Pelodiscus sinensis: one gene and its partners. The protein of the gene in region 2 purifies or fractionates together with the protein of the main gene of each other region. This does not show direct contact. Links are inferred from orthologs where the notes say so. Each region holds a gene or a part of one and is shown on either strand. Other genes may lie near its edges.

Evidence for each region.
Region 1: the proteins of PRPF4 (region 2) and ZGPAT purify together in Homo sapiens (affinity purification with mass spectrometry; 4 studies listed by BioGRID and IntAct, counting the BioPlex papers as one, with this or other methods). This does not show direct contact. The link is inferred for Pelodiscus sinensis from reciprocal best matches to the Homo sapiens genes PRPF4 and ZGPAT.
Region 3: the proteins of PRPF4 (region 2) and MEPCE purify together in Homo sapiens (affinity purification with mass spectrometry; 4 studies listed by BioGRID and IntAct, with this or other methods). This does not show direct contact. The link is inferred for Pelodiscus sinensis from reciprocal best matches to the Homo sapiens genes PRPF4 and MEPCE.

Annotation. Positions count from the first base shown.
Region 1 is NC_134728.1:3,548,071-3,551,814, reverse strand, and holds the start of ZGPAT (zinc finger CCCH-type with G patch domain-containing protein), read right to left. Parts: upstream 3,006-3,744; 5' UTR 2,782-3,005; intron 599-2,781; 5' UTR 436-598; coding exon 1-435. UniProt on the Homo sapiens protein: Transcription repressor that specifically binds the 5'-GGAG[GA]A[GA]A-3' consensus sequence. Represses transcription by recruiting the chromatin multiprotein complex NuRD to target promoters.
Region 2 is NC_134732.1:1,351,162-1,354,905, forward strand, and holds the start of PRPF4 (U4/U6 small nuclear ribonucleoprotein Prp4), read left to right. Parts: upstream 1-1,501; 5' UTR 1,502-1,546; coding exon 1,547-1,633; intron 1,634-1,830; exon of another isoform or gene 1,831-2,090; coding exon of another isoform or gene 2,091-2,099; intron 2,100-3,744. Other genes in the region: anaphase-promoting complex subunit CDC26, read right to left, coding at 1,253-1,333. UniProt on the Homo sapiens protein: Plays a role in pre-mRNA splicing as component of the U4/U6-U5 tri-snRNP complex that is involved in spliceosome assembly, and as component of the precatalytic spliceosome (spliceosome B complex).
Region 3 is NC_134734.1:8,771,830-8,775,573, reverse strand, and holds the start of MEPCE (7SK snRNA methylphosphate capping enzyme), read left to right. Parts: upstream 1-866; 5' UTR 867-1,162; coding exon 1,163-2,815; intron 2,816-3,744. UniProt on the Homo sapiens protein: S-adenosyl-L-methionine-dependent methyltransferase that adds a methylphosphate cap at the 5'-end of 7SK snRNA (7SK RNA), leading to stabilize it.

The DNA of each region.
Region 1 (3,744 bases), on a different chromosome or scaffold from region 2:
CTCCTCCTCTTCCTCAGACGCTTCCTCCTCGTCACTGTACTTCAATTCATTTCCCCCATCATCCTCTCCATCTTGTTCTGGAGAGGCCATGTCTTTAGTACACAACTGCTTGTCCTCACCACCAAGTTCAGCAATAGCTTCCTTAAAAGCATCATACTCATCATCATTGCAGGACCTGCCAGAATTACTGTCCTGTTTTAGGGAACCTGCTGGAGAAATGGAGGGTCCATCGGTGTCTAAATTGGCCAGCAGTTTGCTCTTTTTCACTGACACCAGGCTGGATTCAGTCAGTTCTATCAATTGCTTCAAATCTTCCTGCAATTGGATCAAGTCAGATTGCTGTGATGGATCGAGCCCTGCCCCTAAAGCCAGCTCTACTTGTTGCAACTGGGCTTTATAGGTTTGAATTGCTGCTTCCAGACTCTCTTCATCCATTGTTATTGCAAAGAGCTGTTTCGCTGATTCCTGTCTGGGAACTTGGTAAATACTCAAGTATTTACTGGACAGAAATGTGAAATATGGAGTCTCTGTCCAAACTAGCTGTCAATCTCTGCAGTAGTCTTGTGTTCTTCCCTTTGCTGCAACCAGATGAAAAACACTGCAGGGAACAAATATTATAAAGCTTCATTAGAGAAAGCAGTCACAAGGATAGCCATCCTAATTGAATAGATATCTGTAATGCAAACAGCTACCACCGTATATCATTATACACACATGGCTCGTGTCATGTACATTCAACCTGCCCCGTTGATATCGCACTTGAAAAACTGTTAAGCTTTTAACTTACCTCAGAATTCAACCATGATTAACTAGGACATGCGAATAACATCAGCCTTACTTTTCTGTCCCTTTAAACTTGCAGTCCCATGACACAACACTACCACTCCCTACCTCCTCTTTAATTATAACTAGTAACAAGTGGGGTCCCCAAGGGTCTGTCCTGGGACCAATCCTATTCAACTTACAGGCAGTCCCCGGGTTACGTACAAGATAGGGACTGTAGGTTTGTTCTTAAGTTGAATTTGTATGTAAGTCGGAACTGGTACATATTGTAGAGGAAACTCTAGCCAAACATTTCTCCAGAGCTCAGTTTTATTCTCCCACACCTCACTTCCCTCAGTCCTTTATTCTCAAGCTGAGGTGTCTGCTGAGAAAAGCCGCTCCGCATCTCCCTGGTCTGCTGGGGAGGGGGGGGGGCGCGCTAGCTTCGCGTCTCCCTGGTCTGCTGGGAGGAAGCAGCTAGTGCGGGGTTGCCTCACCCCGTTTGTAAGTAGGGATCCGATGTAAGTCGGATCCATGTAACCTGGGGACTGCCTGTATTTATAAATGATTTAGAGAAAGGGGTAAACAGTGAGGTGGCAAAATTTGCAGATGATACCAAACTGCTCAGGATAGTTAAGACCAAAGCAGACTGTGAAGAGCTTCAAAAAGATCTCACCAAACTGAGTGATTGGGCAACAAAATGGCAAATTAAATATAACGTTGATAAATGTAAAGTAATGCACATTGGAAAAAATAATCCCAACTACACATACGATATGATGGGAACTAATTTAGCTACAACTACTCAGGAGAGAGATCTTGGAGTCATTGTGGATAGTTTTCTGAAAACATCCACTCAGTGTACAGCAGCAGACAAAAAAGCAAATAGAATGTTAGGAATCATTTAAAAAGGGTTAGAAAATAAGACAGAAAATATCTTATTGCCTCTATATAAAATCATGGTACGCCCACATCTTGAATACTATATACAGATGTGGTCGCCTCATCTGAAAAAAGATATATTGGCATTGGAAAAGGTAAAGAAAAGGGCAAGAAAAATGATGAGGGGTTTGGAACGGGTCCCATCTGAAGAGAGATTAAAAAGACAGACTTTTCAGTTTAGAAAATAGGAAACTAAAGGGAGATATGATAGAGGTCTATAAAATCATGACAGGTGTGGAAAATGTGAACAAGGAAAAGTTATTTACTTGCTCCCCAAATATAAGAACTAAGGGTCACCAAGTGAAATTAATAGGCAGCAGGTTTAAAACAAATAAAAGGACGTTTTTCTTCACTCATTGCACAGTCAAGCTGTGGAACTCCTTGCTAGAGGATGTGGTGAAAGCTAGGACTTTAACAGGGTTGAAAAAAGAGTTAGATAAATTCATGGCAGTTAGGTCCACCAGTGGCTATTAGCCAGGATGGGTAGGAATGGTGTCCCCAGCCTCTGTTTGTCTGGAAATAGGTGACAGGGGAGGGATCACATGAGGATTCCCTGTTGTGATCCCTCCCTCTGGGGCACCTGGAATTGGCCACTGTGGGCAGGACACTGGGCTGGATGGACCAGTCTGGTTGTTCTTACATCTTTCTGCTCACGTTGCCTCCCACGCAGGCGGCATTAAACCTGCTGTGAAAGTGGAGGCAAAGACCCCTGGGCTGCGCCCAACCCGCACCTTTCCTCTGCCCCCCCCCGCTCTGCAGGATCCAGGGGCTGCCCCCTTTGCCGCCCCCTGCCTCACATTCAATGGGGCAGAGGGAAGCTGAAAATCCCTCATGAGGGGGGGGTCAAGAGTCCCCATGGAGGGGGCCCAGCACCTCCCCAGCCATAGCAACCGGGGGGGGGGAGAATAACTCCCAACCGCCTCACGTGATCTAACCCCTCCCCAGCCAAGGCGACCCCTCCCCCCATGTGAGACACAGCAGCTCCCCCAGCGGCGGGGGGAGGGGCTACTCCCCTCAGTCGCCATGGAGACCCCAGGGGAACGGTTACCTCCATTGCCCCCGCGGCCCCTCCCTTACCTCAGGCCGCCCGCTCCCGCTAAGCCAGCGCAGCCGCCATGACTCTCTCCATTGCCATGGCTTCCGCCTCCCGGAACAGGCCACACCATAGACACCACCCGGCTTCCGGCTAGAGTCGACTTCCGGCTCCGTCGCCATCTTGGGCGGGCCAGTCCTCCAGCTCCTCCTCCAATGGTGTTTCCGGCGGGCTGAAGCGAGGACGCCTCCCGCGGCTGGGCGCGCTGAGCATTCTGGGAGCGGTGGTCCAAGAGGCCTTCCCCTTCCGAGTCCCTGGCGCCGGAGGAACTACGCTTCCCAGGGTGCCCCGCGGGCACGGGGCGGAGACAGCTGCCCACCCAGTGGGGGGTAGGAGGCGGCCGCGGGGGGAGGGGGGAGCCGATTCGAGCTGCAGCGGGAGTCGCGGGGCGGCTGAGTGGCAGGAGCCGTCGAGACCCGTCACCCAGGTAGGGGGCGGGGCCATCACTGTCCCCCAGCTCCGCGGGTGGGCGGAGCCTGCAGCCCCCCCAGTCACCGGCTCGCCGGGCTCCCCCTGCCCGCGGGGGGGCCCCCCGGCCTGGGCCGAGCGGGAGGGGGCGTGTCTGGGCCTGGCCCCCGCTGTGCAGCCCGGGGGGCGGGGAGAGGTGGGGCCGGAGCTGGGGGTCCGAGGTGGGTCTATGGGGCGGGCCCCAGCCGTGGGGCCGGAGCTGGGGGTCCGAGGTGGGTCTATGGGGCGGGCCCCAGCGGTGCGGCCGGAGCTGGGGGTCCGAGGTGGGTCTATGGGCGGGCCCCAGCGGTGGGGCCGGAGCTGGGGGTCCGAGGTGGGTCTATGGGGCGGGCCCCAGCGGTGCGGCCGGAGCTGGGGGTCCGAGGTGGGTCTATGGGGCGGGCCCCACCTGTGCAGCCGGAGCTGGGGGTCCGAGGTGGGTCTATGGGGCGGGCCCCAGCCGTGGGGCCGGAGCTGGGGGTCCGAGGTGGGTCTATGGG
Region 2 (3,744 bases):
GAGCCTCTTACCAATTTCACAAACTGCGTTTCACAAGAAATAAAATCAAGTTTACTGACTAGAAAGGGTAGATTTTAGAGTGAATGTAAAGGACAGCACACAGAACAAAGATTACTGAGCAAGTAAAATATACAGACTCGATGCACTAAAGACACAGGCTACAAATAGTACTGTCTCACCCTAAATGTTATCTTGGGCAGATTGCAAAGATTCTTGAAAGTCAGTTACAGTAGCCTGCAGCTTAAAACTTCAAGTATTACTACTCAAAGAAAGTCACCCTTCTAGCCTGGGCTCAACTTGTTGCACCTCAGTTCAGTCCTTGTTTCCAGATGTGTCTGGGAGGCAGAGAACTACAATGTCATTCTCCTGCCTCATAGCTTTTGTATATGCCATTACATCTGCCAATGTAAATACTGTGTTTGACCCCAATAGCTGTAGGTCAGGGATGAGCAACTATTTTTTGCTAGGGGCTACTTAAAACATTTTGTAAGTGGCCTCAGGCTACTCCAGAAGGGGCGGGGCTTCCAACTGAAGGGGCAGGGCCAGGATGTTTCTGGGCTTCCCCACCCTCAGACCATGATTGGCCTGGGGGTGGGGGAGCCCGGAGGCACCCATGCCCCTGGCACTGGGAGGAGTCTTCCCGCGGAGGCTCTTTTGCCCACCCCTGCGGTTGGTGCATGTATACAGATGGGCTCTGTCTACACGGGCAGTTTCTTGTGCAAGAACAACTGTTCGTGCGCAAAACCTTGTCTGCTGTCTGCACTGCGCACGTGTTCTTGTGCAGGTAAATTCACAGCACAGCGTCGGAAAACAGCTTCTTCCGGACGAGTTACTCCTGTCCCCTCGAGGGACGAGCCCTCTTGCGCAAGAGGCCGGTGTCCACAGGCAACGGCAGAAGCCCTGTGGCTAAAACGGCCATGGGAGCTCCCTGCGCAAGAGCGCCCAGCTGCCAGGGATGCGCTTGTGCGAAAGCGCCCGCCGGTGCAGAGCGGCCTGGAGCTCGCGCAGCGATCGCCCCGCAGGGACATCACGGCCGCTCCCCCCCGCCCCTCGGGGCCGCCTGCGCGTGCGGGAGAGCGGGGCCTCGCCAAGGGGGCCGGGCCGGGGGGGGGGGCGGGGGGCCGGGGGAGCCGGGGGGGGGGGGCCGGGCGGAGGGAGCCGGGGGGGCGCCGGGGGGGGCCGAGCCGAGCGGGGGGGGGGGGCCGGGCCGGGGGAGCTGGGGGGGCCGAGCCGGGCCGGGGGGGGCGCTCACCTCCAGCTCCTTCCGGGTGCTCTCGAACTCCTCGATGTCGTCCAGCTTCAGCTCCAGGCGCGTGGGCTTCCGGCGCAGCATCGCGGGGGGGCGGAGGGGTCAGCGAGGCGCGACCAGGGCGGAGGGGGGGAGCGCGCCGATCAGCTCCCGCGCCCCGCGCCGGCCCCTCCCGTCAGGCCCCGCGCACCTTCCGGAACGCCGGCCTGCCCCCGGAAGCACAAGCGTCCCGCTCCTCCCCGGGACCCGGAAGCGGAAGTGACGCCTGGCCCGGGGCTCTCGCCCCTCCGGACTGACATGGCTTCCTCGCGGCCTCCCGCCCTGCGCGGCGCCCCGGGGCGGGCGGCGCCTTCTCCCCAGCCGGGCCCGGCTCCCTCCCCGCGGGTAGGGCCCGCTCGGCCTCCTCTGCCGCTTCCGCCGCGCAGCAGCCCCCCCCGCCCCCTCCGCACCGGGCGGCCCTGGCCTTTGTGGCGGCTTCTCTCTTAAGAAAAGGAGCCGCCGCCGCCTGCTCTGCGAGCCCCGCGCTTACCTCGCCCGGCCCGCTTCCTGCCAGGGCTCGCTCCGAATGTCCAGTGCCTGGGGGTTACTTGAGCCTTGAGCGCAAGGGCTACTCGGGACCCTTTCAGGCCTCTGGGTACGCGCTGCTTGGCAGCCCTCCTGGGCACATGCCCGGCACAGTCCATTCAGACCCATCTGTAGGACTAACTTTTTCAAATACCGTCTTGAGTTTTGTTCCACCAAAGGATTGAGAGCCACACGCCAACTGGGGGAAATGTCAAATAATTGGGACCATTGAGGGCACTCTCATTGCAGAAACAAAAAAGCATGTATATGTGCAGTTATGCCAGAGGTATTATGAGATCATTGGAAATGGATTCTTTATTTAGGGAATAGAATGTTATAATGTGGTAACTAGTTGATTTGACTTTTGTGTGTATTTTGGAAAAATTGGGGAGTAAAGTGAGGCAGTCAGGGTGTCAGTGAGGTGGATAATAGAGGGGAAGGAATTTGCTGAATCCTTCATGTTCATAGTTACATTTCCCAGTAGTCTGAGATCTTTGTTTTTGAAGGTCTTAATTATTTGTAAGGAGTGTAATTTTGTTACACATAGTAGCTGGACTCTATTGAAAACATTGTCTGCCTTAATCGTGATCTGCAAATTGGTTTGTGTTCTTTATGCACTACAGGCAGTCCCCGGGTTACGTACAAGATAGGGACTGTAGGTTTGTTCTTAAGTTGAATCTGTATGTAAGTCGGAACTGGCGTCAGCCGCTGCTGAAACTGATCAGTTTAAACCGCGGCTGAATCTGGACGCCAGTTCTGACTTACATACAGATTCATCTTAAGAAACCCAGGCGTCCCCAAGTCAGCTGCTGCTGAAACTGATCAGCGGCTGATTCCAGGAAGCCTGGGGCAGAGCAACTCTGCCTCGGGCTTCCTGTAGTCAGCCTCTGGTCAGTTTCAGCAGCGGCTGACTTGGGGATGCCTGAGGCAGAGCAGCTGGGGTGCTGCTGGGTTGCTCCAGTAGCGCGGCTCCTCAGCGCTACTGGAGCAACCCAGCAGCACCCCAGCTGCTCTGCCCCAGGCATCCTGATTCAGCCGCTGCTGAAACTGACCAGCAGCAGCTGAATCAGGACGCCTGGGGCAGAGCAGCTGGGCTGCTGCCGGGTTGGTCCGGAGCGGCGCTGCGGGACCAACCCGGCAGCCCCCAGCTGCTCTACCCCAGGGGTAGGCAAGAAAAGCCTGGTCTGCTGGGGGGGGGGCACTAGCTGCACCTCCCCCACCCCTCCAGCAGACCAGTAAGACGGGGGTGGCTGGACCACCCAAGTCCTCCACGGCTTTGCTCCATCTCCCTGGCCTGCTGACTTGGGAGACGCGGAGCAAAGCTGCAGAGCACGCGAGCAGCGGGACAGTCCAGGCGCGCCGCGGCTGTCCCACTGCGGGCGTGCTCCGAGGCTTTGCTCCCCATCTCCCTGGTCTGCTGGTCAGGAGACGGGGAGCAAAGCCGCGGAGCACGCCCGCAGGGGGACAGCTCAAGTGTCCCGCTGCGGGTGTGCTCTAAGGCTTTGCTCCCCGTCTCCCTGCAGACCAGGGAGACAGGGAGCAGCTTTTCTCGCCCCAAAGGACGGGGGCGGCGGACCGCGGCGCATCTGGGTGTCCTGTCCTCCGGGGCGAGAAAAGCCCCGTTCGTAACTGCGGATCCGACATAAGTCGGATCCGCGTAACTCGGGGACTGCCTGTAGTCCAATGGATAAAGAATGATTAAAAAGGATGGATTTTTAAAGTTTGTTTTTTCTGCTTGTTTTTTTACATGAGAAATTAAGGATGTATCTAAGTTAGAAGGCTCCCTGATGGAGAACTTGTGAAATTATGCAATTGTACTGTCATAATTATGACATAAGATCAGAGATGCTTGAGCTTTTAAATTGAGAAAGGATTACTTTTTAAAATTTTTCTTCTGTTTACTTTTGATAAAAGCTATTTAGATTTGAAGG
Region 3 (3,744 bases), on a different chromosome or scaffold from region 2:
CCAGTTTTTTCGTATGAGCTGGGGTTATAGGTCATGGCCCACAAATGGGGTGAAAGTTCAGGTCGGATGGGAACTACCCTCCTGTCCACCCCCTTTTATGTTTCTATAATGGGGGGGAGGGAAGAGCTAGGCGGGCAATTAGTTCTGCGCAGGCGCGGAGTCCGACACCGTGCTAGGGGGAAACTACCACTCCCAGCATGTCCGAAGAGGAGGACACGTGACCACTGTTAACTGCCTTTTGCCTGGGGGGGCTTCATGGGGAGGTGAACCCCCCCCACACGAACCCGTTTTGAATGCGCCGCTCACACGGGAAGGGGCTTCTCATTCTCGCCGGTGGCGTATACCCGCCACCGGGTGAATAGGTGGTCGGGTTCACCCCGACGGACTCAGTGCGCCGCTTAGGTGTCTACTTCAGTGCCTGAACCGGCACCAGATTCAATTCATTTCTACGCGCCCTGGGGAACTCTTTGTTACCCTGTTCTTGTCCCCAAAAGACCCGCTTGGCCATTTTAATAACCATTTACATGGGGCAACTCCCTCCGCAACAGGCGCTTTGCATAGACAGCTCTGGGGTCGAAGGCCTCCCCGTGCCGCCCAGGGGCCCATTGCAAAGGTTTCCGATTGGCCTCCACAGCTTTCGTTCCGATCTCTCATTGGCTGATGTCGGGGCCCGGGGACGGGTGGAAGGAAGAAGAGGAGGGGCTTTTCGCGCGCAGGGGCGACGTTAGCAAAGGGGGGATGTCCTTCGAACTTATTGGCCAACGTTCCACGTGGGCACGGAAAACAGTGCGTCCGCATTGGCCGACTTTCGACGGAGGGGGTGGAGCGTTAAGCTGTCCCGCCCTCCGGGTATATCAACCCCGGGCGGGGGGGGCCGACTTCCCATCGCGTCGGAGGTGGGAGACGTGAGACGCTGCTGTATTCTATCGAGCTTCGCGCGGGCGGGTGGGCCGCGCATGCGCTAGCAGGGGCGGGGCAGGCGGCCGAGCGCATGCGCCTTGGGGCCCTGCGCGGGGGGCGAAGGCCGAACGCAACGGCGGCTGCGCTGTGAGCGGGACGGGCGAGAAGGGCACATGCGCAGGCGGCGCCCGTCAGAGGCGGGCCGTTGAGCGGAGCCACTTGGAGGAGGGAGGCGGCGGCGGAGCTCAAGCCGCTCGCCCCGATGCAGGAGATGATCGAGATGGCGGCTGACAAGGAGACCTTCCTGGTCCCGACTCCGCCACCGCCCCTCAAGGCCCCGGCCGGAGCGGGCGGCCCCCTGGGGCAGCTGCACCAGGAGCTTGCCTCGGTGGAGTTACGCCAGGAGGCTGCCCCGGCCAATCCGCGCGGCGAAAGGGGCGGAGCCGTCGTGCGGCCGCACCAAGAGGCGGTCCCGGGCGGGCGCGGGGAAGGAGTGAGCCGCGGAGACGGCCCCCTCATGCAGCTGCACGAGGAGGCCTCCTCGGAGTCTCACCAAGGGGCCGCCCCATTGGGCCAGTGCAGGGGCGGAAGCGGCCCCCTGCCGCGGTCGCACCAGGAGAGCGCCCGGGTCGAGCTACACCCGAGGGCCGGTCCCAAGGAGGAAGATAGCGTGGGCGAGCTGCCCCGGCCTCGCAATGGCTTCCAGGCCCACCGGCCGCCCGGGGGTGGGGGCAAAAGGAGGAACAGCTGCAACGTGGGCGGTGGAGGCTTCAAGCACCCGGCCTCCAAGCGTCGCCGTCGGGTCAACTCCGAGTGCGACCCGGTTCTGCCCTCTGAGTTCCTGCTGGGGGGCAACATCTTCGACCCCCTGAATCTCAACAGTCTCCTGGATGAGGAAGTGAACCAGGCCCTCAATGCAGAGACCCCCAAGTCATCGCCGCTGCCTGCCAAGGGCCGCGATCCAGTGGAAATCCTCATCCCCAAGGACATTACGGACCCACTGAGTCTCAATGCCCAGGATAGCGATGCAGCCCTTGTGCTGGCTGCACCCTTCAAGTCGGGCCGAAAGCGCCACCGTCATCGGGGGCAGCAGCGGGGGGGTGGTGGTGGTGGTGGTGGTGGTGGTGGGGACTGCAAGCAGGCAACCTGCAAGTCATGTGGGGCCAATGGGGCCTGTCCCACCCCACAGCCCTATGAACTTAACACGGCCATCAACTGTAGAGATGAGGTGGTCTCTCCACTGCTCCCCCTCGCTGCAGAGCAGCAGCCAGGAGTGGGCTGTGTCACCCCCTCCTGTTCCTCTGGCAGCAGCCGCCACCGCAAGCGGCGCAGGACTTGCAGCAAATCGGAGGCAGCTGGGGGTGCCAAGCAGACGCTGCCTCCCCACACACTGGTGGCCAGCAAAGGTGGGGGCCAGGCAGGGAAGAGTAGCCCAGAAAAGGGGAAAGGCGCTGGGAGACAACAGGCACCCATGTCCAAGCGAAGGAGACAACACAGAAAATTCCAGTATGGCAACTACTGCAAATACTATGGCTACCGTAACCCCAACTGTGAGGATGGCCGGCTGCGGGTCATGAAGCCTGAATGGTTCCAGGGCAAAGAGGTGCTGGACTTGGGCTGCAACGTAGGGCACCTCACCCTCAGCATTGCCAAGAAGTGGAAACCTGCCCGGGTGGTGGGCCTGGACATTGATGGAGCCCTGATACACTCGGCCCGCCAGAACATTCGCCACTACCTGTCCGAAGAGATCCAGCAACGGCAGGAGGAAGAGGAGGGGGCAGAGGGAGCTGGCCCCAAGAGGAGAAGAAGCTGCTTCCCTGCCTCACTGACAGCTAGCAGGGGACCCATTGCTGCCCCCCGGGTGCCCCAGGACGGGGCAGCTGCTGACTTCCCTGACAACGTGATCTTTGTCCGGGTAAGAGGCCTGGCCTGGGTGGGAAAGGGGCTGCCAGGAGAAAATCCTTCCGGGCTGTAGCAGCCACCTACCTGGTTGCTTTCAGTGAGAGGTGGGGATTCACCCAACTGCCCATGTTTATACGGTGGTGCAAGACATGCCCCTGACAATCTGAGATGGGGGAGAGGAGGGGTTGTCTCCCATCCTATAGGTAGATAGCTCATCTCCTAGGCTGGCCAGTGGCTTAGATGGGAAAAGGCTGGTAGTATGGGGGGTTGTTTTTGGATAAGGGAACTGGATCCTTCTGGAATGGTTTCTCTGGCTGATAATAGGGTCTGTTTTGGGGAGATAAATGAGACACTCCATCTTGCTGGAGGGGGTGTGTGTGTAGGTGGCCACTATTCCTCATGCTTAGGAGTTCTATGTAACTGACAAGATGGTGCTACCTGGGGACAAAGGGGGATACCAGTTAAAAGGCTCAGTGCAGCTTCCCTCCGTAAAGCCCCTTGGGTGAGAGGATGCTGCATTGTGTCCCCTTAGTCAAAACACTTGTCCTCCTCCACACAAGCACAAGAGGGAGTGGAGATGCCTGTGACCTTGGTTAATTTGGTTCACGTCCTTGCCTCAGTTAACCTAAGAATGTGCTGGTGCCTCTTGCTCTGTAAAGCCTTGACATTGTGTGATGTCCAGAGCCCACTCTTGGATGAACTAAGTGCCAGTGGCAGCAAATGGGGTGGTGTGTGAGGAAATGCAGTAGCCAGCTGATCTGCTAGCCCAGAGGTGTGGAACCTTTTTTGGATTGGGGGAAATAACACCCAAAAAAACCTCATTGATATGGCCCCTGACTGGAAAGGAGAAAGCCGCTCCCCACATTCTCCTTGCACACCAGAGATTGAAGGGGCAAGCTAGTAGATTTTGTGTGCTCCAACCCCACAGGGGGAACAGTAGGG